Sus scrofa: one gene and its partners. The protein of the gene in region 3 binds, or shares a complex with, the protein of the main gene of each other region. Links are inferred from orthologs where the notes say so. Each region holds a gene or a part of one and is shown on either strand. Other genes may lie near its edges. The genes, in order: DYDC2, DYDC1, NME5 and DNAJB13.

Region 1 (8,122 bases), on a different chromosome or scaffold from region 3:
AAGTGACACACTAGATTATTTTAAAATCTGATTTTTTTAAACCAGTAACGTCTAAGGTAGCCCCTGGAATCTAAACATGGAATTGCCTTTAAGCATTTTCTTAGTTCATTGATAGGGATTTTATTGACATGGACTGTCAATAAGATTGATTTATATATAAGCATATGAATATGGAGGGAAGAGTAGGATCACAGGAGGCTCAGTGCCCTTTGCTGAGCTGACTTAGGGATTTCCTGGTACCCACCACAGGGTGTGTGCGTGCCCAGTGCCAAGTTCCTCCTCCCTACCTGGGGACACTTTTCACATTCCTGTTGAATCTCACGCTCTTCTCGCTTCAGCATTTCTGTTATTTTGGCTTCTTTGAGGCTAGTATCATACTCTTCCTGCAGCTGGACCTTCTCCTGCCTGCCCTGTGGTGATAGAACAGAGTGGAATCAGGTGAGCCGGGGAAGCATGCACCATTTCTGGGACAGACCATAGGCCCCAGGCCCTTCAGGCCTCCTGAGTTTGCTCCTGGAACTAACTAGCTTCAATCTCCAGGATCTCCAGGCCACCAGCTCCACCACTCCTCTGAGATGGAGTCTCACATCAGCCCCCAGACTCCCTAGACTTTAGGGATATCTGGACCTAAGCTATCCTTATAAGTGGAATTAAACCAAGAAACTCCCCAGGTCAGCTCCAGACTCCTGCCTTGCATTTCAGATTACTCTGGGAAAGCTGAAAAGCCCACCCCAACCTGATTCAGTGTACGCATACCTTTTCTTTGGCTTTTGCCGTTTTCCTATAATGATAAAGCCAGTGAGCCAGGTACTCTATGGGGTCACTGGGCTGAACCTTTGCTACCTCTGCCAGCGCCTGGACCAGGCAATTTCCAAAGCACTTCTTCAGGTATTCGGTTTCCATCTCAGTGGGCTCGGGAAACATCAAAACAGAGTCACACTGTTCTACAAATCTAATTGGACTTAAGAAAAATAGACACATTCCAATCAGTGCAGATTCATTTCAGGATAAATAAGAGAGGTTTCTGGATCCCACCCTTCCCCAAAGAACCAATAAATAATAGGTACCTGCCAATAGATCTTACCTTCAAATGAACTTTTTTCTAAATCTCTCCATCTATCCTAGTTGGAAAGTAGGTCCTGGGGGTCATCAGGCCTGAGAAGAGTTTGGCAGATTGGTGTTGAAGAGTGACAAAGGCCTCTACCTACCCACGCATTTCTACTCTTGATTAGGGAGGAAATAACTGAGCAAGGAGGAGGTCCCGAGAGGGGCTATGAGCACCCACCAAGATGCACTATTGTGAGGTCGGAATTTACACTCATCTATGACACAGATAAGACAGGCTTATATATTTCACAACCACCACTGAGAAGCCCTGAGGAGGAGAGTGAGGGAAAATGCCCAGCACTTTAGCTACTGCTGGTCAGGGGCTCTGCCAGCACTTAACACAATATTCCATTCCCTATGGCTTAAGCAAGAAACGAGGTTGAGTTGAGCTCCTGGATTTACTCAATCAGATGTTGAGAACTGGAGGGAATGAAGCCTGAGTTAGACCATAAGTATGGAGTGGAGATGGAGTGTAGGAGTAGGAATGCAGACTCTGGGATCAGATAGACTAAGTTCCAGTCCTGGGTCTGCTGTTTATTAGCTGTGTAATCTTCAGCAAGTTACCCAGTCTCTCTGAGTCTGTTTCCTGATCTGTGGAACAGAATAACAAAACTATGTATCTCATAATTGTGAGGATTAAAAGAGATAATAAGTACATGTGAAATACATAGCCTGGTGTATAAAAATGTTTAATAAAAATTAGCTGTTATAGGAGTTCCTGCTGTGGCACAGTAGGTTGAATCTGACTGCAGTAGCTTGGGTTGCTGTGGAAGTGTGGGTTCAATCTCCAGCCTGGCACAGTGGGTTAAAGGATCTGGCATTGTCACAGCTGTGGCATAGGTTACAGCTGTGACTTGGATTCAGTCCTTGTCCTGGGAACTTCCATATCCCATGGGTGTGGCCATAAAAAAAATGAGCTGTTATAATGGATGATTTGAGAGATGAAATGGCCAAGCACTCAGCTTATTCCTAATCATCTCCATTTTCCTGAAGCTTACATATTTTAACTCCAAAAGAACGGAGTTAAAATAGACACATTCCAATCTGCAGAAACAAATCTGACTAGTATCAGGAGTTTAGGGTTAACAGATGCAGACTATTGCTTCTGGAATGCATAAGCAATGAGATCCTGCTGTGTACCACTGGGAACTGTATCTAGTCACTTATAGTGGAGCATGATCATGTGAGAAAAAAGAATGTATACATGTATGTATAATCAGGTCACCATGCTGTAGAGTAGAAAAAAAAATAATGTATTGGGAAAATAATTTTTTTTTTTTTTTGTCTTTTTCCTTTTCTAGGGCCGCTCCTGTGGCATATGGAGGTTCCCAGGCTAGGGGTCTAATCGGACCTGTAGCCACCAGCCTATGCCAGAGCCACAGCAACACGGGATCCGAGCTGCGTCTGCGACCTATACCACAGCTCACGGAAACGCCGGATCCTTAACTCACGGAGCAAGGCCAGGGATCAAACCTGCAACCTCATGGCTCCTAGTTGGATTCATTAACCACTGCGCCACGACGGGAACTCTGGTAATTCTTTCTTAAAGTAGAATGCCAATAAGTAATTGTGGAAAGAACAATGGAGTTAAATCATTTTGTAACCATCATGTGTAACTGAAGCAGTCATCAATGAGCGCTAAAATTCAGTGAATACTTGACAAGGAATAGGATATTTATATAGTCTCAGAGTTTCTCCCCACAAATTATGGATTAATTCCAAAAGGAAATAGAGAAACTTAACAGTGTGAAGCCTGGCCTACACAACCTTAACCAAGTGATCAAAGTAAATATCACCAATAAAGGGGACAAAATAACATCACGCATCTCCTGATGTGATGCACTTCTTAGTGGGACATAATACATTTCTGTGGATTCCGGCTGCAAACGCAAGACTAGAATCTGACCGAGGAAACATCAGGCAAAGCTAAATTGAGAGACAGACTGCAAGTGGCCTGTGCTCTTAAAAATATCAAGATCATAAAAGCCAAAAAAAAAAAAAAAAAAAAAAAGATGAGGCTAAACAGCCTTTAGATCAAAGGAGGCTAAACAGTCATAACGACTATTTGCAGCACATGATCCAAGGTTGGGTCTGGACAGGAAATTGGAATTCTGTAAAGCACATTGTTGGGAAATCTGAATGTGGATTGTAGATTACATAATAGAACTGAATCAGAGTTAAACTTCCTGGTTTTGGTAATTAAAATATGAGTAAGAAAATGTCATTGTTCTTACGAAATACACAATGTGGTAGGGCTGAATAATAGTTCTCAAAGTTGTCATGTCCTCATACCTGGAACCCATGAAATATGTTACTCTGGAGTTCTCTTGTGGCACAGCAGGTTAAGGGTCCAGCATTGTTTATCCCTGGCCTCAGTTTGATCCCTGGCCCAGGAACTTCCTCATGCTACAGATGTGGCCAGAAAAAGAGAAATGTGTTACCTTATGTGGCAAAGGGACTTTGCAGATGTGATTAAGGAGTTGGGGGGGGATTATACTGGATTATACAGGTAGGCACAGTGTAATCACAAGGGTATTTATTTATTTATCTATGCCATACCCACAGCATATGAAAGTTCCTAGGCTAGGGATCAAATCTGAGCCACAGCTACAGCAATGTTGGATCCTTAAGCTGCTGCACTGGGCCAGGATCGAACCTGCTGCTGCCACAGCAACAACACTGGATCCTTAACCTGCTGTGCCACAGTGGGAACTCTCACAAGGGTCTTTATAAGAGGGATACAGTAAGGTCACACCAGTAGAAGGAGATGTGACAATGGAAGGGTAGCATCTAGAAGGTGGAAAAGGAAGGAAATGTATTCTCCTCTAAAGCCTCCAGAAGGAACCAGCCCCGCTGACACTTTGGTTTTAGACTTCTAAAACTCATTTTGGATTTTGGACTTCAAAAACTGTTAAGATAATAAATGTGTGTTTAAAGTCATTAAGTTAGGGGTAGTGGTGGAGGGTGGGGATGGGTGGTGGCTTTTTCTGCCAATCTGTGGCCCACCTAACCAATGCACTTAAATAAACTATCTTCTACACCCCTTCTACTCAAGTGTGGTCTAGGATCAGCAGCATTGCATCATTGCATCACCTGAGGATTGCTGAAATGCAGATTCTCAGGTCCCAGCTCAGACCTATGGATGGAGAGTCTGTTTTTTTGTTTTGTTTTGTTTTTTGTTTTTTTCTTTTTGCCTTTTCTTGGGCCACTCCCGTGGCATGTGGAGCTTCCTAGGCTAGAGGTCTAATTGGAGCTGTAGCTGCTGGCCTACGCCAGAGCCAGAGCAATGTGGGATCCAAGCCGCATCTGCAACCTACACCACAGCTCACGGCAATGTCGGATCCTTAACCCACTGAGCAAGGCCAGGGATCGAACCCACAACCTCATGGTTCCTAGTCGGATTCGTTAACCACTGCGCCATGACGGGAACTCCGAGAGTATGTATTTTAACAAAATCCCCAGGTAAGGCACAGCTACAGATCTACTTTGCCTTTATCACAGTAGGATTGGCCTTCCCAGAGGGCAGAATCACCATCTCTGCTTTCCCAGGAAGCCTCTTCACTGCCTGGTCCTCTGGTGGCTGCCACACTGAGGCAACCCTTTCTGGAGAAAGCATCTGCTCTAAACTGCACATTTTCAACAATGGTCTCAACAAAATACATTGGCCTGACTTGATGGGAAAACAGTAGAGCCAGAGAAATAGAGCCACAGTGTGAGGCCAGGAGAGAGAGGGGCTAAAGGGGTGTGTTTTACAGCCCACTCCCCACCAACTCTGGCCATGCTCACCAGTGAGACGGGGGCTATTTTTCTGAGTTTTCCAGAGCTCCTCTGAGGTCTGCTTGTACTGATCCTCCTTGCTCATGGCCTTGCATTCAGGTGGGGCGATATGTATAGAGATTGTCTTTGTTCACACTGTATTCCTAGTGTTGGGCTCACAGTAAGTGCTCAGCAAATATTTCTTGACTTAATCAGTCAGGACTTCGATGCTTGTGGGCCCAGGCAAGAGCTCACGCTTCCTCCCATCTGTTAGTGCCATGCTAACATCTATGACTCAACCAACATTTACTGAGGCACCTCCTGCCCAGTACTGCCCCACATAAATTAGAACATGAGAAATGCTAGCCTGTGCGCAAAGGACTAAACCAAGGAAGACTGCAAATGGTTGGGCTTGGTGGAGGATGGAAGGCTTTCTGGAGGTGGGGAGCACATCACAGTGAGAGGAATGCCAACTAAAGAACATTGCTAGCCAGCTGATTCTACAAGGATTGCTTAGCCACTACAGTTGTTAACTGAGTCATTAACACAACCTAAAAGGAGTTCAGGATGGATATCAGGACTGAAGCAATCTGTTCTCTGGAGAAAATGATAGAACAGGCCTTCAGATAGTTAGAAATTTTCAGGAAAAAATTTTATAAGCCCAGTTTCTTGCATCTTCCCATACTTAGGAAAGCACTGAAATCATTAAGTCATCTGTGCCTGGTGACTAGAATAACCTTTCACCTAGATATGTGTTTGACTGCAGGTACCCCTTCTCCAAAATCACACATATGCTGACCACCCCTCTACTTCTTCCATGCAGGAGCAGTTCCTTAGAGCTGTCACAGCGGCCATCTCCAGGGCTAAAGTCCTCAGTTTAGTCCCCAAATAAAACAACTCACAACTCTCAGATGTGCAATTTTTTTTCAGTGGACAGGAACCAAACAGAGGTCACCAGCAAGTGCAAAGGTGCTAAGCGGGGAAAATACCAGGCTATAGGTAGCTATAACTTCCTCTGCTCTAAAGCCGTTAGCCCCGAGGCTCCTCTCCCGCAGGCCAGCCCTCTCCCTTTTCTCTCTCCCTGTGTGCGCAAGCCTGCCAGCTCCGCCCGATTCCCCCTTTTGGCTGTCCTCTTCTCACAGCCTCTGGGTTGTACGTCTCTGCTCACCTACCCTGGTGCTCCCTTCCCTCCATCGGTAATCTCGCACACCTAGCGCGCCCCCTCCTCTCAATAGCGCATCCTACCCCGCCCCTCTCTGCTCCTCTCCTATGGCCTCTCCTCTCCTCTCTGCGGCCTCCTCCCCGCCCTACTGCCGCTCACCGCCCGACACGCTTCCTCTCTGCTGCAAATTCTCCGCTCCTCGCCCAGCGCTCTCTGCGGCGCGCCCCTTCCTCTCAGCACGAGGCAGTCTCCTGCTCCTGGGGCTCGCGCTCGTTGCCTAGCGACAGGACGCTACTAGAGGGTAGGTAGGCGCCTGCGTCCCGCGCCGGCTTAGAGGACGCAGGCGCAGTTGTGGAAGTACTGCTTCAGGTGCTGGGCTGAATCCTGCGAACCAAGGCAGTTTTTGCAGTTGGACCTTGTGAGCGCTGCGGTGGCAGTAGACGCCCATGCTCCCCGAGCTTCGGGAAGGTTAGTTCAGCGCCGGCCTCCTCCTCCTCCTCGGTGGTGAGCGGCGCTATGCCTTTTGGAGGGATACGGAAGGCGGGCACCCTGCCGGGGACCTGGGATAGAAAAGCAACCGAAGCGCTCGGAATCCAGGGTTGCCAGATAAAATTCGGGGTACGCATTTAAATTTGATTTCAGAGAAATAAGGAATAGCTTTTTAGCACAATATAGGATAATGCAAAATCATTCCTTATTTATCTGAAATTTAACTGGACATCCTGTATTTTTGTTTGCAAAAAAAGCAACCCTACCACTGGCCACCTTTCTCCCAAGCAGGAGCGAAGAACCTCTTTCTGTTTCTTGTGACAGCTTATGCAGGCTTGAGGCAGCTCTTTCTGTGGGAAGATGCTTTCTTCTCTTGAGCCAGGATGGCTGTTGGTGTGTATAAAAAATAGCATTACTTATAACAGGCTTTTCAGATGGGTATGTCGCTAATTCAGGAACAAGAAATAAGCCAAACGAGGTAACGAGTTCCACCTGGGTTCCGCTGATAATGCGATGCAGGCTGCCTAGATGTGAGACTAACCCTTTACTGGAGGTTTCTCCTTAGGAACCACGGGCCCATTCCCATGTGTTATCTTTCAGGAGCAGCGGCAGGAATCGGCTCCCTTTTTAATTGTTATTCCATTCCAAATGATATTAAGCTGTCAATGTAGTTATTTTTGTCTTTGAAGAAGTGCAGTGAAGATACTGTGTTCCATACTCAGCTGTAATAAGACATCAATACTAGCTTGATAGGGAATTAGGTTCGTTTGTGCCAGTTTTTAATTTGTTTTTATGACTGTATATATGTATTAGCGTTCCTTTCTCCACTGTTGTTGCTAATATAAAGGCGGCATATAAACTGCAATTTATGCATCTTGCTTTTTTTCACTTCACACTTTGTCCTAGGGATCACTCCTAATTTGGGGGATCTTCCTCTTTCTCTTTTTTTTCTGCGCAAAAATCCATTGTGTTGCTGTATCTCATCAGTCCTTTATTGAGGAACATTTGGATGGAGGTCGAAACTTGGCTATTCTTAGTAATGGTGCAGACTAACCGGTGGATATATTCATATTTTTGTAAGATAAGATCCCAGAAGTGAGACTGATGAGTCAAAATGTAAAGTCATATGTAATTTTCTACACATTTCCAAATTCTACTCCATGGGATTATGCCATTTTGTACTCTGCCACCACATTATGAGACAGAGCACTATTGGAGTATATGGATGAAACTCAGAAGGTCATTGTTTCTGAGGTTTTGTGCAGAATGTTAGGTACATTTATTCCAGAACAGGTCAAGACACACTGGCATTCTGTCTTCTATAATTGCTCATGCCTGACATGTAATAAGTTCTCTTTCTCCCTCTCTCTCTCTCTCTAGGGCTGCTCCCATGGCATATGGAGGTTCCCAGGCTAGGGGTTGAATTGTAGCTTTTGCTGCTGGCCTATGCCGCAGCAATGCGGGATCCGAGTCGAGTCTGCAACCTACACCAAGCTCATGGCAACACCGGATCCTTAGCCCACTGAGTAAGGCCAGGGATTGAACCCACAACTTCATGGTTCCTAGTTGGATTCATTAACCACTGTGCCACGATGAGAACTCCTATAT
Region 2 (7,675 bases), on a different chromosome or scaffold from region 3:
TGGAGAGCCAGCCCTGTTGGTGCTGTGATTAAAACACACTCCTAGAGGAGCTAGAGGAGCTTATCCTTTAGTGGGGGGACAGACATGTCCATGCACAGATAATGCTCAGGCAGTATGATAAGGGTCATGTGAGCTGTTGGGGGAAGGACGGCTGTCTTTGTGTTGCCTGGAGATGGTGGTAGCAGCCACAGCAAGGGGGAATGACAGATGATTGATGCCTTGCAGGTGAGGAGATAGTCTCCAAACTGAGAGTGAGGGGTCATCACGGGCACATATGATGGAGATGGAATTGCACAAGGTGTGAGCAGCAGAATGACAGGATGTTCTGTATGGTTAGAGCCCAGAGTATGTTGGAAGCAGAAAAGATTTCTGGAGGTGAGCTTGGAAAGAAAAGTGGAGCCAGAGCATGAAGAGCTTCATGTGCTAGTCTTTGAAGGTTTAATTTTTTCTTATTTTTTGGCCTTAAGGTATGTGGACTTTTTAAAACTTTAAGGTACTATTGTGATATTTTCTAGAAACATCTCTCAGGGGTTGGGAGGAGCATCTTAGTAAATCATTTAGGGTAACGACTCTGGAATCAAGAGTTGGGTGTGATCCCTGTGCATCATGTGCCACCTGGGCTGTTCACTTATTCTCTTTGTATCTGAATGCGAGGATTAAGTGAGCCATCACTTGCCATATAGCCATTTCATGGTCAATAATGACAGTATCCCTTTTCTGACTCTTGGAATCAAGGATCCTTCAGGATTTTGAAACTATTTTAGTTGTAGCAACTACTGTGGAACATTTTTGGAAAATGCTAGAAGTTCCCCAGAGCCAGCTTGCTTGCGCCATCCCTAATGGCAGGTTCCCATGACTGGTGACAGGATATGCTGCTTGGTTGGCCTTACTTGTCTCTACTTTGATTGTGCCTTCATCAAAAATCTCCTGCACTAATGCAAAATGTTTGTCCTTTAGAAGTTTTTACTTAGCAGTTATAAATGGAGACGGAGTATCTTCAAAAGAATCTTGGGACATGTCTAACTCAAGGGCTTGCAGAAGTGGCAAGGATGCGGCCAGTGGATCCAATAGAATATTTGGCATTGTGGATTTACAAGTATAAAGAAAATGTGACCAGGGAGCAACTGGTAAGTATGGATCTTTTTTCCTAAAATTAGAAGAGTAAAATAATTGGTCCAGCTTCTTCATTTTTTATTAAAGCTTGACATTATCATTTCTTTCTGTTATAAAAATGGTATGTTTATTACATGAACTTGGACTACCTGAAAAAGTGAAAGTAGAAAAATGAAAACAAAATACCTCTATTTAGGAGTTCCTGTCGTGGTGCATCGGAAATGAATCCGACTAGGAACCACGAGGTTGTGGGTTGGATCCCTTGCCTCACTCAGTGGGTTAAGGATCCAGTGTTGCCATGAGTGTGGCGTAGGTTGCAGACATGGCTCAAATCTGGTGTTGCTGTGGCTCTGGTGTAGGCCGGCAGCTATAGCTCAGATTAGACCCCTAGCCCGGGAACCTCCATATGCTGCAGGTGCTGCCCTAAAAAAAGACAAAAGACAAAAAAAAAACAAAAAACAAAAAACTTCTATTTAGATTTTTAAGTATTTTTAGATATTCTAGTCTTTTTTCTACGTGTTCATGTTAAGATTTTTTAAACGTAATTTGATCATATTCAATTCATAATTTTAATTTTGTGCTCTTTGTTCAAATAAAACACACATTTCCCAAAATTATTATGCAGTTTCCAAATGGACAGACTATAATTTGTTTAATCCTTTCCCTGCTGTTGGAGATTAACATGCTTTTAAGAATGTTTTCAAAAATTGTTTTACCTGATGTCACATGATGTTGTTTTTAAAACAATGCTAGAGACAAGAGGAAATGGCCCAGTTGGAGCATGAAAGACAAATAGCTCTGATGGAGCAGGAAATGATGGAGAGACTTAAAGCAGAAGAGCTCCTATTTCAGCAGGTGAGACAAAAGAGTTCAGTGGTGACTGGAATTGGTGGTGTCAGCCTCTGTGTGGTGCAACCCGAGTGCTGAAAAACTCATCTCTGGTTGCTTAGATGTGGCTTTCATGTATCTTCATCCTTATGTCTCTCTGTGTTTCTTTGCTGGAGAAGCAGAAGCAGTGGGGTAGGAAGAAAATCCAGAGAGTGAGCTGTCACAGAAGCCAACGGGACAATGTCTCATTGAGACCCGAGTAGTCAACCATGTCTATGGCTGGTCCAGTGAGATCAGAACCTGCCAAGTGCTCATTAAGTCCACGGGTGACCTTGGCGGGAGCAGTGTGTGGGGGCTGGGGTTAAGCAGGGGAGATAGAAATGGTGGCTGTAGATAATGTTTTCAAGATTCTCAGAGAAGGAATTCTGTTTGTTTGTTTGTTTTTTTTTTTTTTTTCCCCTTAAGGAACAGAGTGGGAGGGGGAGTGGTTGAAGTAAAGAAATAAAGTGGATTATTCTTAAAGTTAGCTTTACATGGAGATCAGAAAAAGTTGGGTCTGAAACATAGGTTAGGCAGGTGGAAGACCCTTCTTTGATTCAGGAAAAGAGGAGAAGATGTAGGTACATGTGATGTGTAGGTTTTATGGCACAATTTTTTTTTTTTCTTTTTATGGCCATACCTGTAGCATAGGGAAGTTCCCAGGCTAGGCGTCAAATCAGAGCTGCAGCTACTGGCCTACACCACAGCCACAGCAACACTGGATCCTTAACCCACTGAATGAGGTCAGGGATCAAACCCACATCCTCACAGACACTGTGTCAGGTTCTAAAGCTGCTGAGCCGCAATGGGAACTCTTTGTGGCACAAAAATTTTTTGTTTGTTGTTTTGTCTTTTGGGGCCACACCTGTGGCATAGGGAAGTTCCCAGGCTAAGGATCGAATCAGAGCTACAGCTGCTAGCTTATACCATAGCCACAGCAACACCAGATCCGAGCTGTGTCTGCAACCTACACCGGAGCTCACAGCAACACCAGATCCTTAACTCACTAAGCGAGGCCCGGGATCGAACCCATGTCCTCATGGATACTAGTTGGGTTCGTTACCACTGAGCCACAATGGGAACTCCCTACTTGTGGCCCAAAATTGAAAGCAGTTTCTTTTTTATGAAGTAGGGAGCATGATCATCTGCTCACAATGAGGTGGTGAGTAAGATAGGAAGTGTGGAGAGAGGGGTGAAGGGTTAAAACGGTGGCTTTGGAGAAGTCCAGTTGACCAGGGAAACTTCACATCCCTTGGTAGCACTGAATTCCCTGAGAATAAGCAGTCATAATGGGGCCTTTTGGCTTGGTTTTGTGATTATGTGGTTTTCTTCACTCAGGCTTAGATATGAATGAAGAGGTGGAACAGGCAGACCCTTTGACTGAAGTGAGTTTGGGTTAGCAGGATTGGGGTGCTAAAGATGTTGCTATGAGAATGGTTGAAGAGGTAGGTCATGGAGTGTAAACCAAATAGGGGAAATTTCTCAAATGGCTCTGGACTAATTTAATTTTTTTCTTTTTTTGTCTTTTTGCTATTTCTTTGGGCCGTTCCTGCGGCATATGGAGGTTCCCAGGCTAGGGGTCGAATCGGAGCTGTAGCCTCTAGCCTATGCAAGAGCGACATGGGATCCGAGCCGTATCTGCAACCTACACCACAGCTCACGGCAGTGCTGGATCCTTAACCCACTGAGCAAGGGCAGGGTCTGAACCCGCAACCTCATGGTTCCTAGTCAGATTTGTTAACCACTGCGCCACGACAGGAACTCCTGGACTAATTTAATTTATGGAGAGCTTCTAAACCAAGTTCAAGCCTCCCGTTTATTCCTATTGTACACTACCTAATTCTACAGTCTCAACTCCAGTTTGTATGTTATAGAAAGAGAAAGAAGCCTATTATTTGGCTGTGTGGGTAAAAAAGAAAATGTAAACATGGAAAATAGCTTCTTTGTCTTACTTCCCATCCTTGATACTGGAATAGGATAATTCAGACACCTTAGGTGGATTTGGCTGTCAAAGAAAGCCTTTGCTGCTGCTTTTTTAGTCACTGGGCTTATTTTTGTGGGGAAATTGCATAGCATTGAGTTGGATGTCAAACAACCACCCAGGTAGTCAAGTATCTGCTGCAGTCACCCCAGCTTTTTTTTTTTTTTTGTCTTTTTAGGGCTGCACCTGTGGCATATGGAGGTTCCCAGGCTAGGGGTCAAATCAGAGCTGCAGCTGTCAGCCTATACCACAGCCACAGCAACACTGGATCCTTAACCCACTGAGCAAGGCCAGGGATCAAACCCGCAACCTTGTTTCTGCTGCACCATGATAGGAACTCCATCATCCCAGCTTTAAGTGAGGATCTGCCCGGCCTCTTCCAGCTCCTGGACCTGATATTTGTTCCCTGTCTATCAGAAGAAGGAGACCCTCTCAGCAGTTCTCCTTCCCCAAGACAGATCACAGATGTGGAGATACTTAACTCTCTTTGACTCATCTTCTTTTTCACTTAGATAAAATTTGGTGATACCAGAAACCAAACACTTCTCTGGCTGTATCAATATGGAGCCATCCCCTGTGCATCAAACCTTAAGCCTTGTATTGAATATGGAAGATATAGTGATATCCTGCAGAAGATGTGATGGCCAGTTAGAGGAGTGGATTGGTGGGCAGAGATAGATGAGAGGAGGAGAAGGGACATGCAGAGAGATGGACCAACAGAGAAGAGCTTAAGAGAGAGAGAGAGGCTGAGATGAAGAGGAATAGAGAGGCCTCTCCATGTCCCCAGAGTTAAATGAGCTGGAGGGTCAGGACTCTGGTCACCCGCTTGTCTGTTTCAAGAGCAGTGGTAGTAAATACCGCTACTTGAAATTCATTGAAATTTTAGGCACTCTCCCACAAGCCTGGGTCCTTTGTGAATATGGAAATATTTTTATTGTTGTTTTCTATTTAAGAGCTTGTTTTGGAAGAAAAGCTTTTTTAATTTATTTGAATGTCTTTCTAAGATGGTTTTACTCATGTATGAAGAAAAGCAATTGGGTTTTGAACATTTCCCTTAAAATGTTAAGAAACTGGTGATGTTGATCAGTGTGGTTGGTATGTAACAACTGGACTTTGGGTTATTGTTGAGAGATTAGAGTTATTTCACTTTCTCTACCAATTTCTGAAAGTCGATTGAATGGTAGTGTTCCTACATTTCGGCTACCTAGTCCATCACTTTTATCTTAGTGGGAATGATACAGAAATATGAAGAAATTGCCTTTAACAGCCCTTTGTGAATAATGTTAGTCACTGTTTATTATGTTTTTATTTGCAAAAGTGTATTATTTTTAAAATGAATTTAAAATAGTTTTAAAATGCTCTTAATGGAGTGAGCTTGTATAAACTTGTTTATGGGGTGGCACTAGGTTAATGGTGAGAAATTGCTGAGGGGTTGGCAGACTCTTTCTGTTAGATATTTTACGGTTTGCAGGTCAAGAGGCAAAATTGAGGATGTTATGTAGATATTATGGGATATTATGTAGGTATATTATGTAGATATAGCAAGAGAGAAAACAATTTTCTACAAATGTTTTATTGATGAAATAAAAATTTTAAAAATAATAATCAAATGCAAATTTTTTTGTAATGTAGGCTTACTACTGAGAAGAATTACATCCCCTGCCCTTTTTTTGTTTGTTTTGTTTTGTTTTAATGGCCACACCTGTGGCATATGGAAGTTCTTGGGCCAGAGATTGAATCTGAGCCACAGCTGTGACCTGTGCTGCAGCTGCAGCAACACTGGATCCTTTAATCGACTGTGCCATGCCACAGGGAACTGAACCCATTCTTCTGCAGTGACCCAAGCGCCTGCATTCAGAATTTTTTTTTTTTTTTTTTTTGCTGCTGCTTCTTTTTAGGGCCACACCTGTGGCACATGGAAGTTCCTGGGTTAGGGGTTGAATCAGAGCTGCAGCTGCTGGCCTACGCAACAGTCACAGCAACGTCAGATCCGAGCCACGTTTGTGACCTACACTAAAGCTCATGGCAACGCCAGATCCTTAACCCACTGAGCAAGGCCAGAGATTAAAACACGCATCCTCATGGATACTATTTGGGTTCTTAACCTGCTGGGCCATGACTGGCACTCTTGCAGTCAGATTCTTAACCCACTGTTCCACAGTGGGAACATCTACATTCCCTTTTTAAAGATAGCTTTTTTTTTTTTTTTTTTTTGTCTTTTGTCTTTTTGAGGGCCACACCCACAGCATATGGAGGTTCCCAGGATAGGGGTCTAATCAGAGCTGTAGCTGCTGGCCTATGCCACATCCACAGCAACACTAGATCCTTAACTCACCGAGCAAGGCCAGGGATTGAACCTGCAACCTCATGGTTCCTAGTCGGATTCGTTTCCTCTGTGCCACAATAGGAACTCCTAAAGATAGCATTTTACTTAGTTGGAGTTAAAAAATAATGTTCTCTATTACCAAAATTGATTGACAGTGTTTATCTGGTTTTGTTTTTTGTTTTGTCTTTTGTCTTTTTAGGGCCGTACCTACAGCACATGGAGGTTCCTAGGCTGGGGGTTGAATCAGACCTGAGCTGTAACTGCTGGCCACAGGCACAGCAATGCCAGATCTGAGCCGTGTCTGCAACCTACACCACAGGTCATGGCAATGCCGGATGCTTAACCCACTGAGCAAGGCCAGGGATCAAACCTGCAACTTCATGGTTCCTAGTTGGATTAATTTCTGCTGTGCCACGATGGGAACTCCAACAATGTTTATCTGTTAATGCTGATCTGTAGTGAGATTTTATGTGTTTCATCTTTGAAAATATCTTTTTACACAAATAGGTTCTTGCCAAATATTGATATCTGCCCATGTGCACAAAATTTTGAGTGTATTCATCTCTCAGAAGGCACTTGTAGAATTCTGCTAGGTTTTTCTCTTGATATTTGTCCTTATCATATCATTATCTTGTGGATTCTTCCAGTTGAGGGTTGGTAAAATCTTCTCAGTCGCACAGTTAAATGGATTTTGAAATGTGGAAATTTCCTTTGCACTTATATCAAGACCTAAAAACACTCTAGAACTACAGTTTGAGCTTAGAAAATCTGCCACAGATTTGTGTGGGAATGGAAATCTAGTTTCTTGATAGCAGTAGAAGTGTATGAGGCAGCTTGACATTGTGATTCAAACAAATTAGTTGTTATTGAAATGACTTTCCTGCAGCATTAAGTTTTACATATAAATGCTGTTTTGCCTTATGCTTTTCAGTCAAATTGATTAAAAATCTTTAAGTCTGCAGCAAAAGCTAGTTTCCAAATCTATTTAATGTTTGATAATTGTGTTTGAAGATGGTTCTTAAAGTCAGTTTTAGCCTTAGCTCAAAAATTCGCAATAAAACATTACCACTGTTAGGCCATGGACCTGTTGGTTTGTAGGGCAAGTCAAGATATATTCAGCTTCTCTATCTGACAAAAAATTACGGAACCAATGATGTTTAAGATCATAAAGGTAAATGAAAGTCACTGTTGACACTGTTACAAACCAAATTTGGCTCTGCTCACTCAAGGTGTGTTGAAGGCAAATCTGTTGACACTGGGTTGTGGTGAAGAAAGGTGCAGTATTTATCGTAAGGTGCTAAGCAAGGGAATGGGAAACAAGGCTCAGATTCACTCCACATTGGTCGTTGAGTTAGGGGTTTTCTTAAAGGGGAAGAGCAGAGGGGCTA
Region 3 (7,675 bases):
ATTTCTCTGAAGAAAACAAAAACATTAATTTGAAAAGATATATGCACCCCTGTGTTCACTTCAGCATTATTTACAACAGCCAAGATGTGGAAGCAATCTGAGTGTTTGTCAGAAGATGAATAGCTTTAAAAAATATGAAAAAAAAATATATACACATACATACATATATATATATATATATATATATACACACACACTGGAATATTAGTCATAAAAAAGAAATTTTGTCATTTGCAATAACATGGATGAACATAGAAGGTGTTATGCTAAGTAAAATAAGGTAAAGAAAATAGCATATGATTTTACTTATATGTGGAATCTAAAAATAAACAAATAAACAAATACAACAAAACAGTACAGAGTAAACAAATACAACAAAACAGAAACAGAGTCACAAAGAACAAACAGGAGGATGCCAGAGAGGAGGGGGTAGGAGATGAGGGAAAGAGGTGAGGGATATTAAGAAGTAACAAATTTTGAAGTTCCCGTGGTGGTGCAGCATCAGAAAAGAATCCAACTAGGAACCATAAATTGCAGATTCCATCCCTAATCTCGCTCATTGGGTTAAGGATTCAGTGTTGCTGTGAGCTGTGGTGTAGGTTGCAGACGTGGCTTTAATCTGATGTTGCTGTGGCTGTGGCATAGGCCAGCGGCTGTAGCTCCAATTAGACCCCTAGCCTGGGAACCTCCACATGCTGCAGGTGCAGCCCTAAAAAAAAAAAAGTAGCAAATTTTCAGTTACAAAACAAATGAGTCATGAAGACGAAATGCATAGCAAGGGGAATATAGTCAATAATATAATAATTTTTGATTGGAATACAAAATGGTTTAACCACTACAAAAAGTAATTTGGCAATATTTATCCAAATTAAAAATGCACATATCAAAAATATCAAAATAACATTCTTTTGGGGAGTTCTTATGTGGCACAGCAGGTTAAAGATCCAGTATTGTCACTGCAGAGGTTTGGGTTGCTGCTGTGGCACGAATTTGACCTCTGACCCATGTGTGATGGGTGGGGCCAAAAGAAGTAACATTCTTTTGACTCAGTATTTCCATTTGGAGTAATTTATTCTACAGATATATTGCATACTGCCAAATGAATGAAGATAGGGTAATAATCTGTGGTAACAAAAGAGTGGAAACAACCTAAATGACCATCTATATGTGACTAATTAATAAATTGTAGAAGATTCATAATACAGAATGCCATAAGCTGTTCTTTTAAAATGGGGCAATTTTGTTTGTTATGCTATTTAATAATTTATAATATATATTAAGTAAATAAGGCAAAAAAGTGTCAAATAATGTGCATAATAACTAGCATTTGTATTTGTCTGTTTTTTTTCCTTTTGGCCCTGCCCATGGCATGCAGAAGTTCCCAGGCCAGGCGGGGATCATTCCTGGGCCAGGGTTCCAACCCGTGCCATAGTAGTAACCCAAGTCACAGCAGTGATAATGCTGTATCCTTAACCCACTGAACCACCAGGAAACTCCTGTATGTGTTTTTAAGTTCATACAAATATATATGCTTATTTATGTATAGATTTTCCCTGCAAGGTTATACTAGAGACTGATAACAGTAATTGACTCCAAAGAGTATAACTGGGTGGCTGAGGAACAGGAATGAAAAAGAGAGTTACTTTTCACTATATATTATTTTAGAAATTTTAGATTTTATACCATATTCAAACACTGTTTATTCAAAAAATTAAACAGTTAAAAAATAAAGTCAATCCTTTAAGGGTCAAAATAATTTTAATTTCATGTTTTGAAATATAATTTGACTTGTGATCTCTTTCCAAATAAAATAATTGTAATGTGCGTAAAATTTCATATCAAAGATATTTATTGTTACAGTATTTATAACTGCAAGCAGCAAAAGTATGGTAAAGGTAACAAAAGAAATATCATGTAATTATTAAAATAATCTTTATAAAATATATACTTAAACACAGCAATATTAACTTTCCCTCATGGCCTAGCATGTTAAGGATCTGGCATTGTCACAGCTATGGCTCAAGTCACTGCTGTAGTGTGGGTTTAATCCCTACCTTGGCCTGGGAACTTGGGCATGCCATGGGCACAGACCAAAAAAAAAAAAAAAAGTGTATGTGTGTGTAGCAGTATTTATGGGATGTGTTTATATACAGTCATATAAAAAATACAACCTGAAGAAAGAAAAAAAAAAAAAAACACAAGACTGGATTAGCTTCATTGGAGACACAGGCTTTAAAAAACCAAACAAACCAGGAGTTCCCTCTGTGGCACAGTGGGTTGAGAACCTGACTGCAGCAGTTCGGGCTGCTGCAGAGTCAGGGTTCAATCCTTGTCCCAGAGTAGTGGGTTAAAGGATCTCGTGTTGCCTCAGGGTGCAGCACAGGTCGAAGCTATGGCTCAGATTCAATCTCTGGCCTTGGAACTTCATACACAGTGGATGTGGCCGTTAAAAAACAAAACAAAAAACAGTAACAGCAGCAGATAATGTATAAGGACTTAATGCACAGGCACTTTGACTAAGAATTTCACATGCATTTATACTTTTAATCACAATGTCTCTGCTAGGTAGGTATATACTCATAAATATATCTACATCTTACTGATAAGAATAAAGAGACTTAGAGAAAAGTTAGGTGTCTGGAGTCAGAATTGAATCCAGGCAAGATGACTTAAATGGAATGAGGGCTATTTCTTTTTCTTCTTTACATTTTTCAGTAGTTTCAGGTTTTTCACTAAATAAAAATATATTATTTTCACAATGAGAGAGTGTTATTAAAGAAATCTGTCAATATTTTTATTTTTGGTAAAAGTGATAATGTTAGTGGGAAAGATTAAATCTTTTGTCTTCAAAGGGGATTCCCTTCCACAATGCTAACAAAGGCTAGAGACACTGTTTTGGTAGGGCTGGTACTAAAATAACCTTCCCTGACTACATATGAGGCTCTTCAAATAGGTGAAAGCATATGTCAAGAGGGATCCAGGCTGACATTTGGCCTTGGACAATCATTCTAGGTCCCCATACACAACGATTCTTCCACCTGAATGAGCACCATTGAGGCATCTAGGGATGTGAATGTGTTTTCTAGTTTAAAAAATATTAAACATGATTCAAGTATATATGGAATTTTATCATTTGATTATATAAATTATACACAAAAACAATGTTCAGCAATTACAGGATGCAGTGATTGAAAATGCACTTAGGAAGAATGTTTTGTTTTGTTTCTTTTTTGGTCACCCCATGGCATATGGAGTTCCTGGGCTAAGGATCAGATCCAAGCCATAGCTGCGACCTAAGGCACAGCTGTGGCAATGCCAGATGCTTAACCCAGTATGCCAGGCTGGGGACTGTGGGGACTGAACATACCTTCCAGTGCTCCCAAGACTCTACCAATCCCATTGCACCACAGCAGGAACTCCAGGAAGAATGTTTTTTAAGAGTTAAAACAGCAAGAAGGGAGTGGGACGGACTGGGAGTTTGGGGTTAGTAGATGCAAACTACTGCATTTAAAGTGGATAAGCAATGAGATCCTGCTGTATAGCACAGGGAAATATATCTAATCACTTGTGATGGAACTTGATGGAGGATAATGTGAGAAAGAGAATGCAGGAGTTCCCATCGTGGAGCAGCAGAAACGAATTCAACTAGGAACCGTGAGGTAGCAGGTTCAGTCCCTGGCCTTGCCCAGTGGGTTAAGGATTCGGCATTGCCGTGAGCTGTGATGTAGGTTAAGATGCGGCTCCGATCTGGCATTGCTGTGGCTGTGGCGGAGGCCAGCAGCTATAGCTCCGATGAGACCCCTAGCATGGGAACCTCCATATGCTGAGGGTGCAGGCCTAAAAAGACAAAAAGCCAAAAAAAAAATAAAGAGAATGCATACATAGGTATAACTGGGTTACTTTGCTGTACAGCAGAAACTGACAGAACATTGTAAATCAACTATAGTTTAAAAATTAAAAAAAAAAAATCAAGAAAATAAGTACAGTTAATCCTTGAGCAAGATAGGTTTGAACTGCAGGGGTCTACTTACATGCGGATGTTTTTCAATAGTAAATACTGCAGTACTACACAATCTACAAATGGCTGAACCCAGGATGAAGAATTGCACATACAGGAGAACAGATGTTGCAAGGACCTACTGTAAATTACATGTCAGATTTTTGACTGTGCAGAGGGTCAGTGCCCCTAGCCCTGACTTTTACTCGAGGCTCAACTGTAATAAAAAATTATACTTAAGGAAGTATCTAAAATGTACATAAAATAGTTTAAGTGACTCTCAATATGTTTCCAAGAATACAACACTTTAATTATGAAAATTATAGACAATATTCTTCAGTATGAATAAAAAGATTTCTTACTAAAGGATCTGCTGGTTTTTGCTTACAAAGCTCTGTAAGTCCTTCAAGCAGAGTTGGTATTACGTACAAATTTAAATAGTCCTTTGCAGCTTGTCCAACTGGAATGGGCTCAGTGATCACTGCAAATACAAATGCATTCCCATTAAGCCAACATAAATGATGGCATATTATGCAGTCATTAAAAAGGACACCTTTAAAGAAATTTTAGTAGCATGAGAAATACTTAGTTTTTCTTTCTTAAGGAAATAGAACTAGACACAGTTTAATAGCTTGTTCAAAAACATACAAACAGGAGTTCCCGCTGTGGCGCAGTGGTTAACAAATCCGACTAGGAACCATGAGGTTGCAGGTTCGATCCCTGGCCTTGCTCAGTGGGTTGAGGATCTGGCGTTGCTGTGAGCTGTGGTGTGGGTTGAGATGTGGTTTGGATCCCTCGTTGCTGTGGCTGTGGCATAGGCCGGAGGCTGCAGCTCCAATTGGACCCCTAGCCTGGGAATCTCCATATGCTGTGGGAAGTGGCCCTAGAAAAAGGCAAAAACAAAACAAAACAAAAACCATAAAAAACACACTCGTAAGATTGGCAAAATGCATCAAAATGCTAATGGTGCTCCTACATAGGATTTTGATTATGTTTTCAACAATATCCATTTCTGCATTTCCATGGTTTTTTTTTTTACAGTAAACATTACAACAGAAATGTTATAAAAATATGAATTATGTTAAAATCTCGGAGATTAATTCCTTACAAAAACCCATCAACAAATTTGGTAGGCACTTTTCAAAATGGTACAGGCTCAACAGTGAATAATAGGTGGTTCTTGCTCTTATAGTCTATAGTTAGACTACTGAATACACACATAAAACATATTTCAATTATATAGTATGCATTAATATTCCTGCTCTTGGAGTTCCCCTCGTGGCGCAGTGGTTAACAAATCTGACTAGGAACCATGAGGTTGCAGGTTTGATCCCTGGCCTTGCTCAATGGGTTAAGGATCTGGCGTTGCAGTGAGCTGTGGTGTAGGTTGCAGATGCGGCTCGGATCCCTCATTGCTGTGGCCCTGGCGTAGGCTGGTGGCTACAGTCTGATTAAACCCCTAGCCTGGGAACCTCCATATGCCGAGGGAGCAGCCCTAGAAAAGGCGAAAAGACAAAAAAAAAAAAAAAAAAAAAAAAAAAATCCTGCTCTTATTTTTCAGGTTTTAAAATAAACTATGTAAGTTTTAGGAAACTTTAGTCTTTTTAGTATTGTTTGAATACCATGTAGGTGAATAAGACTTGGAGTACAAAAAAAATGCATATTTCTACTAGAAAGAATTGTATAAATCTTTATAGGTCTTTCAAGGTTGATGTCCAGCAGTATGCTACTTTTGATAAAGATGAGAAAGTAAGGCTACTAATCTCATATGTTCAGATTTAAATCCTCATTGGAAAAACTGGCCCAAGGGAAAGGAGGGCAGGAGGATAGGTTTCTATATAACTGCATGTGTATGTGTATAGGATCAGTCTCAGTGAGACAAAGACTACCAGTGGGAATCATCTGCCAGGATGCCAGGAAAAGTTGGCAGAAGTCTTACAGGTCTTAGGTAAGAGGTTCATTTCCTATTAGTCTCATTATAGTACTTTTCATTACACTAATCACTGTAATAATTTTATTTTGATTATATAAACATTTCTGTCATTTGTCTCTTCTGCTCTGTAAGTTCCATGTTTTTTTAAAAATTTTTATTTTTTTGGAGGGAGTTCCCATCATGGCTCAGTGGTTAACGAATCCGACTAGGAACCATGAGGTTGCGGGTTCGGTCCCTGCCCTCGCTCAGTGGGTTAAGGATCCAGCATTGCCGTGAGCTGTGGTGTAGGTTGCAGATGTGACTCGGATCCCGTGTTGCTGTGGCCTTGGCGTAGGCCAGCAGCTACAGCTCTGATTAGACCCCTAGCCCGGGAACCTCCATATGCCGCAGGAGCAGCCCAAGAAATGGCAAAAAAAAAGACCAAAAAAAACCCAATTTTTTTTTTTTTTAATTTTTTTGCTTTTTATGGCCACACTCACAGCATATCGAAGTTCCCAGGCTAAGGGTCCAATCACAGTTACAGCCACAGTAACATGGGATCCGAGCCATGTCTGTGACCTACACCACAGCTCACAGCAACGCCGGATCCTTAAACCACCGAGCGAGGCCAGGAATCGAACCTGCATCATCATGGATACTAGACAGATTTGTTTCTGCCGCACCACAATGGGAACTCCTCTGTACATTCCATATTAAAACCGTATTTGTCATTGTTCAATCTTCTCAGATCCTTTATAGCATTTTAAAAATGAAAATCCGGGAGTTCCTGTTGTGCTGCAGTGGAAACGAATCTGACTAGGAACCATGAGGTTGTGGGTTCAATCCCTGGTCTCTTTCAGTGGGTTAAGGATCCAGTGTTGCTCTGAGCTGTGGTGTAGGTCACAGACACGGCTTGGATCTGGCGTTGCTGTGGCTGTGGCGTAGGCTGGTGGCTGTAGCTCTGATTAGACCCCTAGCCTGGGAACCTCCATATGCTGCCGGTGCAGCCCTAAAAAAAGAAAAAAAAAAAAAAAAAAAAAAAAAAGAAAAAAAGAAAATCCCATTAGGTCACTCCCATCCTTAAAATGCTTTATCAATTCCTCATTGCCCTTCTAGTCAAGACAAAATCCCACACAATTGCCCAGAGATTATACTATGTGCTGTCTATTTACCTCTCCAGACTTAGTTTCTCATTCAAATCTTTCAGTTTACAGGATACGCTACGACTATGCACTTGCGCTTCCTTCTGCTAGAATGCTCTTCCCTTTCTCAGGTTAACCACGACTTAATTCTTGGTTCTTAGCTACAATGTCACTTCCTCAGTCAGGGCTATCTTATAGTCTCTCAAGATACCTTCTTTTTTTTTTTAAATCCAGTTACCTTAAAAATTTTTTGTTATAGTTGATTTATAATGTTCTGTCAATTTCTGCTGTACAGCAAAGTGACCCATTTATCCATTTATATACATTCCTTTTTTTCACATTATCCTCCATCATGTTCCATCACAAGTGATTAGATCTAGTTGCCTGTGGTGTATTGCAGGGTCTCATTGCTTTTCCACTCCAAAGCAAACTCCCAACCCATTGCACTATCCCCTCCACCCCCTGGCAACCATAAGTCTGTTCTCCAGTTCCATAAGTTTCTTTTCTATAGATAGGTTCATTTGTGCCATATATTAGATTCCAGATATAAGTGATATCGTATGGTATTTTTCTTTCTCTTTCTGACTTAACTTCACTTAGTATGAGAGTCTCTAGTTCCATTCA
Region 4 (7,630 bases), on a different chromosome or scaffold from region 3:
CAAACATTTCCTGGTTCCAGTCTGCCTCCAGAGGGATGTGGTAATTTCTTCTTGCCTGCAACCATTCCCAGGTGGGCCTGGTGGGGATGCTTCCTGTGAGCTAAACCAAGGTATTTTAGCTGATGCAGAATACCTGGGAGGCAGGGTTCCCAGAGATGGGCCATTATGTATAATTTACGCTTATAGGCAACATCCCTTTAGTGCTTAACTTGTAATTATGAGGACAGCTCCTCGGACAAACGGGCTGGAGCCTGTGAGGCGGGAACGGGAGGCTGGGTATTACACTCGGGGACTGAAACGGTGCGGGATTGTCCGTGAACATGAGTTTCTGGACACAGTTTCTCTTACTCCGTGCGTCTCCCCACCTTCTGCAGAGTTTTTTGATGCAGAAGGAAATGAGGTGGATCTTAACTTTGGGGGGCTCCGGGGCCGCGGGGTCAAGAAACAGGACCCCCCCATCGAGCGAGACCTCTACTTGTCTCTGGAGGACTTGTTCTTCGGCTGCACCAAGAAAATTAAGATCTCCCGAAGGGTGAGTACCGCGAGCCTCCTCCTAACCGCTCTGACCCGAACCGGAGACCTCGGGTATGGCCTCTCTCGGGATCATGGCATCTTAGATTTGGGGACCTAGGATGGTGGAATTCTAAAATCTGACCTTTGGAAGGGACAGTCGGGGGTATTAGCTGGGGTTCTTTCTGAGTTCAGGAGTCCCCCTGCATGCCCCCAACTTCTCAGTTCAGCCCCATCCCTGAGGAAACTGGGAGTCTCCTGTGATTTCTGCCTTCTGGGCGTTACCAGCCCATACCCTGTGGGTTCCTGGGTGTGTGCCTCCTGAGTAAGAAGGTGCCCTGTGGGCATGGGAGGGGGAGGCTGGGGGACAGTCCCTAAGGGGACTTGGAGAAGACCCTCAATGCCTCAGGGTCCAGCCCTGTGCTAGCCCCGTGCCATGGTCCACATGAGCACGGCCCCCTCCAACCTTTGCCCGGCAAAGGAGATGCCAGTTGTAGCCATGCCTTGCACAGATGGCCCCCATGTGGGCCTGTGATTGGGGGGTGGGTGACAGGTGACATACAGAGGAGTGCTGTGGGTGAGGCTCTGTGGTCTTTCTCCCTTGGGAATTAAGAGCCCTGCTGGAGGCTCGGGCAGAAGCCGCGGGGGTGGGAGAGGAGGTGGGTGTGTGTTCCCTGTGTATCTGTCAGTGGCCACAGCCGTGAGTTTCTAGGACTGGAGTGGGTCCTTGGTCAACTCACGGTGACACTTGGCACCTCGGACCCGAGCCCCATGTCATGCCCTGGCCCTCCTGGCCTAAGTTCCTGGTTTCAGTGGAACGGGCGTGGGGTGGCTCTGGCAGCTTCTCCCCATTGCTAGAGGCCACCTGGCAAACCTCCGTCCCGTCGTCTCGCCGCAGGTGCTGAACGAGGACGGGTTCTCCTCTACCATCAAGGACAAGATCCTCACCATTGACGTGAAGCCTGGGTGGAGGCAGGGCACCCGAATCACCTTTGAGAAGGAAGGGGACCAGGTGAGGGGAGGGCTGCTCCCTGGGGCCAGTCCCCCGGGTCCGCGTGGTGGGAGGACCGAGGCGGGAGGAGGCAGTGCGTGTTCTTGGTCCGGCAGGGAGGCCGGTCTGCAGAGTGGGCGAGCCGACCCCTCATGTCCCTCCCGAGGGACTGAGCCTCACAGGACATCCCCCAGGACCGAGTGGGCAACCGAGGCCCAGAGAAGGCAGGGACCTGCCCAGGGCACGGGCACCAGAGCAGGAAGGAGAAGCGAGTCCTAACACCAGTGTTCCCCCTGATTTTCTTTAGCGCTTCTCTGAGTCAGGCCCACCTCTAGGAGCTACGCAGAAACCGTTTGTTCACAAGGTTTTTTCTTTGGGCCCCCACGGCCTATGGAGCTCCCGGGCCAGGGATCAGGTCCCAGCTGCAGCTGTGGCCTACGCCGCCCCTGCAACAATGCTGGATCCGTTAATCCACAGTACCAGGCTGGGATGGAACTTGCATCCCGGTGCTGCAGAGATGCTGCTGATCCCATTGCACCACAGCGGGAACTCCAATGATAATTTTAAATTAAATGCTTATTTAGATGAAAATACAGAGTGATTGTCCAAGGCATGCTGAGTCCTCAAGTTGAGAAGAGGCAGTGATGCTATCCTTATTGCCAAGAGAGATGAATTCCTTTGCCATACTTCTTGCTCCCTTTTTTGCCCAGTAACACCTGCTTCCAAAAAACCCACTTCAAGATCCAGCTGCCAGGCTCTGGCTCTGGGCAGCCTTCCCTGTCCCCCCACCTTGGGACAGCGCCTCTCTGATCGGTCTTGAGCCTGCTGAGGATTCGCTACGTGTCCGTTTCCCCACCAGACTGGAAGCTCTTGGGGGTGGGGGCCAGTCGGCTCTCAACCCCCAGGGCCCAGGAGAGCCCTGCGGGGCTCTGGGGCTCAGTGCAGCCTGGCGGGACAGACCGGCAGGCAGTTCTGCCCCGAGCCCAGCGTTCCTCTCATGGTCTGAGGACGCCTCTGTCCCCGCACCCCGGCTGCAGGGGACGGGGAGCCGGATTGATCGGCGTAGGCTTTTCAGAGGAGGGACTGTGAGACCAAACTGGAAAGACCCTCCAGAAAACATGGTCTCATCTTCTCATGGTTCAGATGAAGACATGCAGACAGTAGAGGCAGGCCCTCGGCCAAGGTCGCACTGTTAACCCCTGTCTCGCCTTGGCCTCCTCACCCAGGGTCCCAACATCATCCCCGCCGACATCATCTTCATCGTCAAGGAGAAACTACACCCTCGCTTCCGCAGGGAGAATGACGACCTGTTTTTCGTGAACGCCATCCCCTTGGGCAAGGTGAGTGGGCGGAGCTGGGGGGGCCAGAGGCGGGCCGTCTGTTCAAGCCCGGGAGGCCCCCGGGGAAGTGGGCCTGCGCTCCCCTGGTACCTGGTGCCGGCCTTCAGACCATGGTAAGGGCCACACCAAGTCTTGGCGGCTGTGTCACTCCTGAGTGTCCCTGGCCCCCACGCCCTCACAACCCGGGCACGAAACGGCACCGCCTGCGGTTAGGCACTGAGTCCTCTCGCTTCCTCCTCCAGATGGCCCTCCCTCCGGGCCAGTTCTGTTCCCCCCACCATCGGGGCTCTGCGTGGCTTCCCGCCTTCCTTCTCACGTCCTCCAGGCACGTCCCCAGGGTCTTTCCACAAACTCATCTTTTAATCTGACCTGGCCACACTCTTGTCTAAACACCTTGGCGTGGCCTTCAAGGCCCTCCGCCTTCTGGCCCCTGCTGAGCTCAGCCCCTGCTCTCCAGCCACTGCCACTCAGGCCCCCTCAGCCTGGTGCGCTTTTCACACCTCCGTTCCGCTGTCTCCGCCGGGCCTCTGCCTGAGCACTGTCGCCCCTGCTTGTCTAACTGGCAGCTTATCCTCACCCTTTATCAACTGTGGCCACCACTGTGTGTGGCCCTCCTGCCCGACCCTGGAAGGTTTGGGAGGCGCCCCCCCAACCCCGACCCCTTTCCTTCCCTGTATCATAAAATGTATCCACATGAGTCTTACTAGCAGATCGAACTAAGGGCAGGCAGTTGCCCGGCTCACTTACTTGTTGGTATTTGAACATCCTTTTGTCTCCTTGTGGCCCCGCTCAGGGCCTGGCACTGAATAGTCTCATAAAGAATGGACACAGGGGAGTTCCCGTCATGGTGCAGTGGAAACCAATCCGACTAGGAACCATGAGGTTGGCGGGTTCCATCCCTCGCCTCGCTCAGCGGGTTGAGGATCTGGCATTGCCGTGAGCTGTGGTGTAGGTCCAGACATGGCTCGGATCCAGCGTTGCTGTGGCTGCGGTGTAGACTGGCAGCTGTAGCTCCGATTCCACCCCGGCCTGGGAACCTCCATAGGCCGCAGGTGCGGCCTTAAAAACAAACAAAACAAAAAGCAAAACAAAAGATGGACACAGGGACCTTCCTCACTCCCACCTCTGGCCCCCATGTCCTCTAGGCTCTGACCTGCTGCACCGTGGAGGTCAAGACCCTAGATGACCGTCTGCTCAACATCCCCATCAATGACATAGTCCAGTGAGTCCGTCTGCGTGGGCCCCATCAGGCAGGAGGGCTGCCTGGCCCTGAGAGGGTGTGTCAGACGGGCCAGCCTAATATAGTTGTTCAAGTTGCACACAGCACAAGGGGGTGAGAGAGGCTGAAGTCCAGCGGCGACTCTGGCCAAGCTGTGGGCTACAGTTACCTGGCCAATGGAGTGCCTTCTTCTGTCCAGAGGCCCCCAGGGGCGAGCAGTCCTTCCGCCTTCATCCTCAAGAACGTCCAGAGTTCTGAGTTGCTTCCACTAAGCCCTTTCCCAAGCAAGGCGCTGTGCGTGGGACGCGTGCTCAGCAGCCCCACGCTCCCCTCCCCAGCCCAGGGCCTGCTCACTTTCCTTCCCTCCTTGTCCTGTATCCCATTGGAAATGAGATTCCTGGAGTCCCCCATCAGAGACTCAGTGCAAATGGGTTTTCAGGGAGCAAGTTGTCTGGAACAAGCCAGTCACCCCTCCCCTCCCCCGAGTTCTGGAAGCCGGGGCCTGCCCCCCAGGCCTGAGGTTACGCGGGCAGGGGTGGATGGGATCTGTCCCAGGGCAGCCCTGGGGCGTCCTCTGAGCCCCTCCTCTCATCCGCCCGTCTCAGCCCCAAGTACTTCAAGAAGGTGCCGGGGGAAGGGATGCCGTTGCCAGAGGAGCCCGCCAGGAAGGGGGACCTCTTCATCTTCTTCGACATCCAGTTCCCCACCCGCCTCACACCCCAGAAGAAGCAGATGCTGCGCCAGGCGCTGCTGACGTAACTCTGGTGGGCTGGGGCTGGAGCGGGGGGACGAGGCGGCGGCTGGGCCTGACCGCGCCCCTGCGCCCCCAGCCCCAGGGTGTCCCACTGCACGGGCCTGAGGTGAGGATGGAATGGCATGGAACCTTTGAACTGACACAATAAAGTTCTCTTTCCTGTCCTCCAGCTCTACCCAGGAGAGCGTGTGCTGGACGGAGAGGGGCCTCACACAGCCCTGACTGTGGGGCAGAGGGGGGCCGGGGCCCACGAAGCTGAAGACCTGGGCCCCTGCCCTGGCTGTGGGCACCTGGCCAGGCCCCCGAGGGCTCAGAGCCCCTGTGCTCCCATCCCGATAGTGGGGCCATGCTGCATGGCCTCTGCGTGTCACCAGCTCTGCTTCTCCTGACACACGACGTCAGGCTCTGGTGTGACGTAGTCACGTTGTACTCAGGAACACAGAAGGACAAAGAGAACGGGGTACTTTTCCCAGGCCACATGGGACTCAGTGGCAAAGCTGTCAGCAGAGCCTTGAAGGCCACGTCCCACCACCTCACGCGCTGCGCTGCGAGGCAGCGCCCAGGACTCAAGCCTGGGAACGGCTTCCGTCCCTGCCGTGCGGCCTCCGCTGCCTTGGCTGTGCGCTAGGTCCTGCGCTGCCTCCAGACAGGGTCCTGGGAGACTGGGCTCTGCCCTCAGCCCTGCCCTGACTCCTCAGAAGGTACCTGTCTTGTTAGTAAGGTGGCACCTATAACCCTCCCCGAGCTTCCTGCCGATGAGAGTGCTTGGCGAGCTCTCTGCCTCGTCACCGGCGTGGCCCGCGGGGCGCCAGACTCCGGGCTGGGCAGGCGGCCTGCAGCCCCTCTGCGCCAGGAGGGCCCCCCACCCCGGAGCCTGGGTCTGGGCTGCGAGACCAAGCTTATGACATCGGGGGGCCACTTTTGAGGAGTGACTTCAGAGGTGCCAGAAGAGGGCCCCACAGGATCCACAGTGCTTGGATTCTACCACTCAAAGCGTCGTCATCTTGGCTTAAGGGGCTTTTCTCAAATGAGGGCTCAGTATCAGCCCTTGAGCAGACCTGCAATGTGGGGCTGGGGACAGTGTGAGCTCCCGGAGTTCCCGTCGTGGCTCGGCGGAAATGAATCTGCCTGCATCCACGAGGACACAGGTTCCATCCCTGGCCTTGCTCAGTGAGTTAAGGATCCAGCATTGCCGTGAGCTGTGGTGTAGGTCACAAATGTGGCTTGGATCCCGAGTTGCTGTGGCTGTGGTGTAGGCTGGCAGCTGTAGCTCCGATTAACCCCCAGCCTGGGAACCTCCATGTGCCGCCAGTGCGGCCCTAAAAAGCAAAAGCAAAGCATGTGAGCTTTGGAGTCTGAGATACTTCTGGGTTCCACCTGTCAGCTGAGCGCCCCTCGCTTCCTCTCTCTGAGCCTGTTTACAACCCCTATCTTGCAGGTCCCGTGGAAACCAGATGAGTGAGGCAGATTCTGCCCTGAGGCAGGACCTGGGTGGAGAGGTGGTAGTAGGTGCCCTGTTCTGAGAGCAGGTTGGGTGAGGCCTGCCCTGTGGGATTCTGGCACCCCAGCTCTCCTCCAGGCCAGGAGGGAGGCAGCTTGTAACCAAGTCCTCATAGGGACTCTCAAGGAAGCCTGGTCTTGGGCCTGAGGGGAGCCCTTAATGAGACTGTTAGCACCTCGGTGCTACCCTGTATGGCAGGTGTGTGATATGCGTTAAGGCCTCCTGGCTCCTGCAGAGGAGCTGGCTCCATCTAGGCCTCCTGGCTCCTACCTGGTTTCCCAGTTCATCGTCTCAGGATCTCGATGAAGTCGGGTGGCCTCACGTCCACGCCAGGGACTGAAACACAAGGCTAGTGAGGGAACCAGCTGCCAGACACACCAAGGGCAGCCCGTTGCCACTCGGTTTCCTCTGGTGCAAACAGTGAAGGGCCTGCCTGCAGAATTAATGTGAGGCTTAAGGTGCATTAGACACATTTACCCCCTGCCACCTGCACCCTGGCTTGGCTGACGGCACCCACCCCTGTCCCTCTTGGGACTGAGAGCCCAGCTGTCCTCCTCCACAGCCCTGACATCCTGGACCCAAGCACCGAATGGCCCAGCCTCCAGCTCAGGCCAGTGGGGAAGCACAGTAGCACCAGATGCCTTCAAAAGGCAGGGCACATTCTCTGGGCCTGGAACCACAGCTGTCCAGCAGGGTTCCTGAAGGACCCAGCACCGGCCCCTGGGGGAGGAGCCTGAGTCCTTGTCCCAGTTGAACTGCTGACTCCCGCATCCTGGCCTGTGGAACCGTCTCAGCCTTCGGCTTCTTCAAACGTCTGCAGAGTGCGCCTGGGTGGCTTCCTTCGAAGGACCCAGCTCTATGAGATGCCCTGGGATTCTGGAACCTCCAAGTCCCCACCCCTTGAAGCAGCAGTAGCCCTGGAAGAGGGAGAGGGAGGCTGACACCCCTAGTTTGTCACTACCTCCCTGGGATCTCTAGCCTGGGGTGAGGGTTAAACTCTGAAGGCGAGATCCCTGGGCTGAGGCCAGATGTTTGTTCTGCAGCTGCCTCTGTGCAATTCTCCTGCCTCCTTGGGGTGTTGGCTGTGCGGGAGGGAAGCAGCCTGACTTGCCCTCACTAGGCCTGGGACTTTGGGAAGGCAGGTTTCCCATTTGTAAAATGGAATAAAATAAGCCCATAGCATCTAAGATTCCCAAGTTCCTCTAAGTCTTCTAAGAAGCACTGGGGATGCAGGGCAAATAGGAACTTTTTTTTTTTTTTTTTTGGCTTTTTAGGCCTGCACCTGCCCAGGCTAGGGGTCGAATCTGAGCTACAG

The links.
Region 1: the proteins of NME5 (region 3) and DYDC2 are in contact, whole or in part, in a cryo-EM structure (PDB 8X2U), measured with the Mus musculus proteins. The link is inferred for Sus scrofa from reciprocal best matches to the Homo sapiens genes NME5 and DYDC2. Residues at the interface, in NP_542368.2 of Mus musculus: Arg140, Ala145, Val146, Ile147, Ile151, Pro152, Ala156, Ala157, Tyr160, Ile161, Tyr164, Val165, Thr168, Leu169, Leu173, Leu176, Cys177, Lys180, Pro181, Asp183, Pro184, Tyr185, Leu186, Leu188, Ala189, Asp190, Leu192, Met193, Asn196, Pro197; in NP_001347537.1 of Mus musculus: Asp2, Tyr5, Leu6, Cys9, Phe10, Gly13, Leu14, Leu18, Val21, Ala22, Arg23, Val24, Arg25, Pro26, Asp28, Pro29, Ile30, Glu31, Leu33, Ala34, His35, Leu37, Tyr38, Tyr40, Arg41.
Region 2: NME5 (region 3) and DYDC1 share a complex: the UniProt entries of both Homo sapiens proteins name them as parts of the axonemal radial spoke complex. The link is inferred for Sus scrofa from reciprocal best matches to the Homo sapiens genes NME5 and DYDC1.
Region 4: the proteins of NME5 (region 3) and DNAJB13 are in contact, whole or in part, in a cryo-EM structure (PDB 8WZB), measured with the Mus musculus proteins. The link is inferred for Sus scrofa from reciprocal best matches to the Homo sapiens genes NME5 and DNAJB13. Residues at the interface, in NP_542368.2 of Mus musculus: Glu52, His53, Asn56, Met193, Lys199, Pro200, Lys201, Leu202, Cys203, His204, Phe205; in NP_705755.2 of Mus musculus: Thr156, Lys157, Lys158, Thr181, Ile182, Asp183, Arg185, Trp188, Arg189, Gly191, Thr192, Arg193, Ile194, Thr195, Phe196, Glu197, Pro281.

Annotation. Positions count from the first base shown.
Region 1 is NC_010456.5:82,195,377-82,203,498, reverse strand, and holds the start of DYDC2 (DPY30 domain-containing protein 2), read right to left. Parts: upstream 6,306-8,122; 5' UTR 6,185-6,305; intron 1,156-6,184; 5' UTR 1,085-1,155; intron 962-1,084; 5' UTR 925-961; coding exon 757-924; intron 411-756; coding exon 288-410; intron 1-287.
Region 2 is NC_010456.5:82,187,032-82,194,706, reverse strand, and holds part of DYDC1 (DPY30 domain-containing protein 1), read left to right. Parts: exon of another isoform or gene 1-375; intron 376-957; 5' UTR 958-980; coding exon 981-1,127; intron 1,128-1,866; coding exon 1,867-1,968; intron 1,969-7,675. UniProt on the Homo sapiens protein: Functions as part of axonemal radial spoke complexes that play an important part in the motility of sperm and cilia. Plays a crucial role during acrosome biogenesis.
Region 3 is NC_010444.4:140,142,906-140,150,580, forward strand, and holds part of NME5 (nucleoside diphosphate kinase homolog 5), read right to left. Parts: intron 4,479-7,675; coding exon 4,360-4,478; intron 1-4,359. UniProt on the Homo sapiens protein: Functions as part of axonemal radial spoke complexes that play an important part in the motility of sperm and cilia. Does not seem to have nucleoside diphosphate kinase (NDPK) activity.
Region 4 is NC_010451.4:8,350,425-8,358,054, forward strand, and holds part of DNAJB13 (dnaJ homolog subfamily B member 13), read left to right. Parts: intron 1-374; coding exon 375-532; intron 533-1,408; coding exon 1,409-1,522; intron 1,523-2,727; coding exon 2,728-2,841; intron 2,842-3,986; coding exon of another isoform or gene 3,987-4,063; intron 4,064-4,665; coding exon 4,666-4,962; 3' UTR 4,963-7,630. UniProt on the Homo sapiens protein: Functions as part of axonemal radial spoke complexes that play an important part in the motility of sperm and cilia.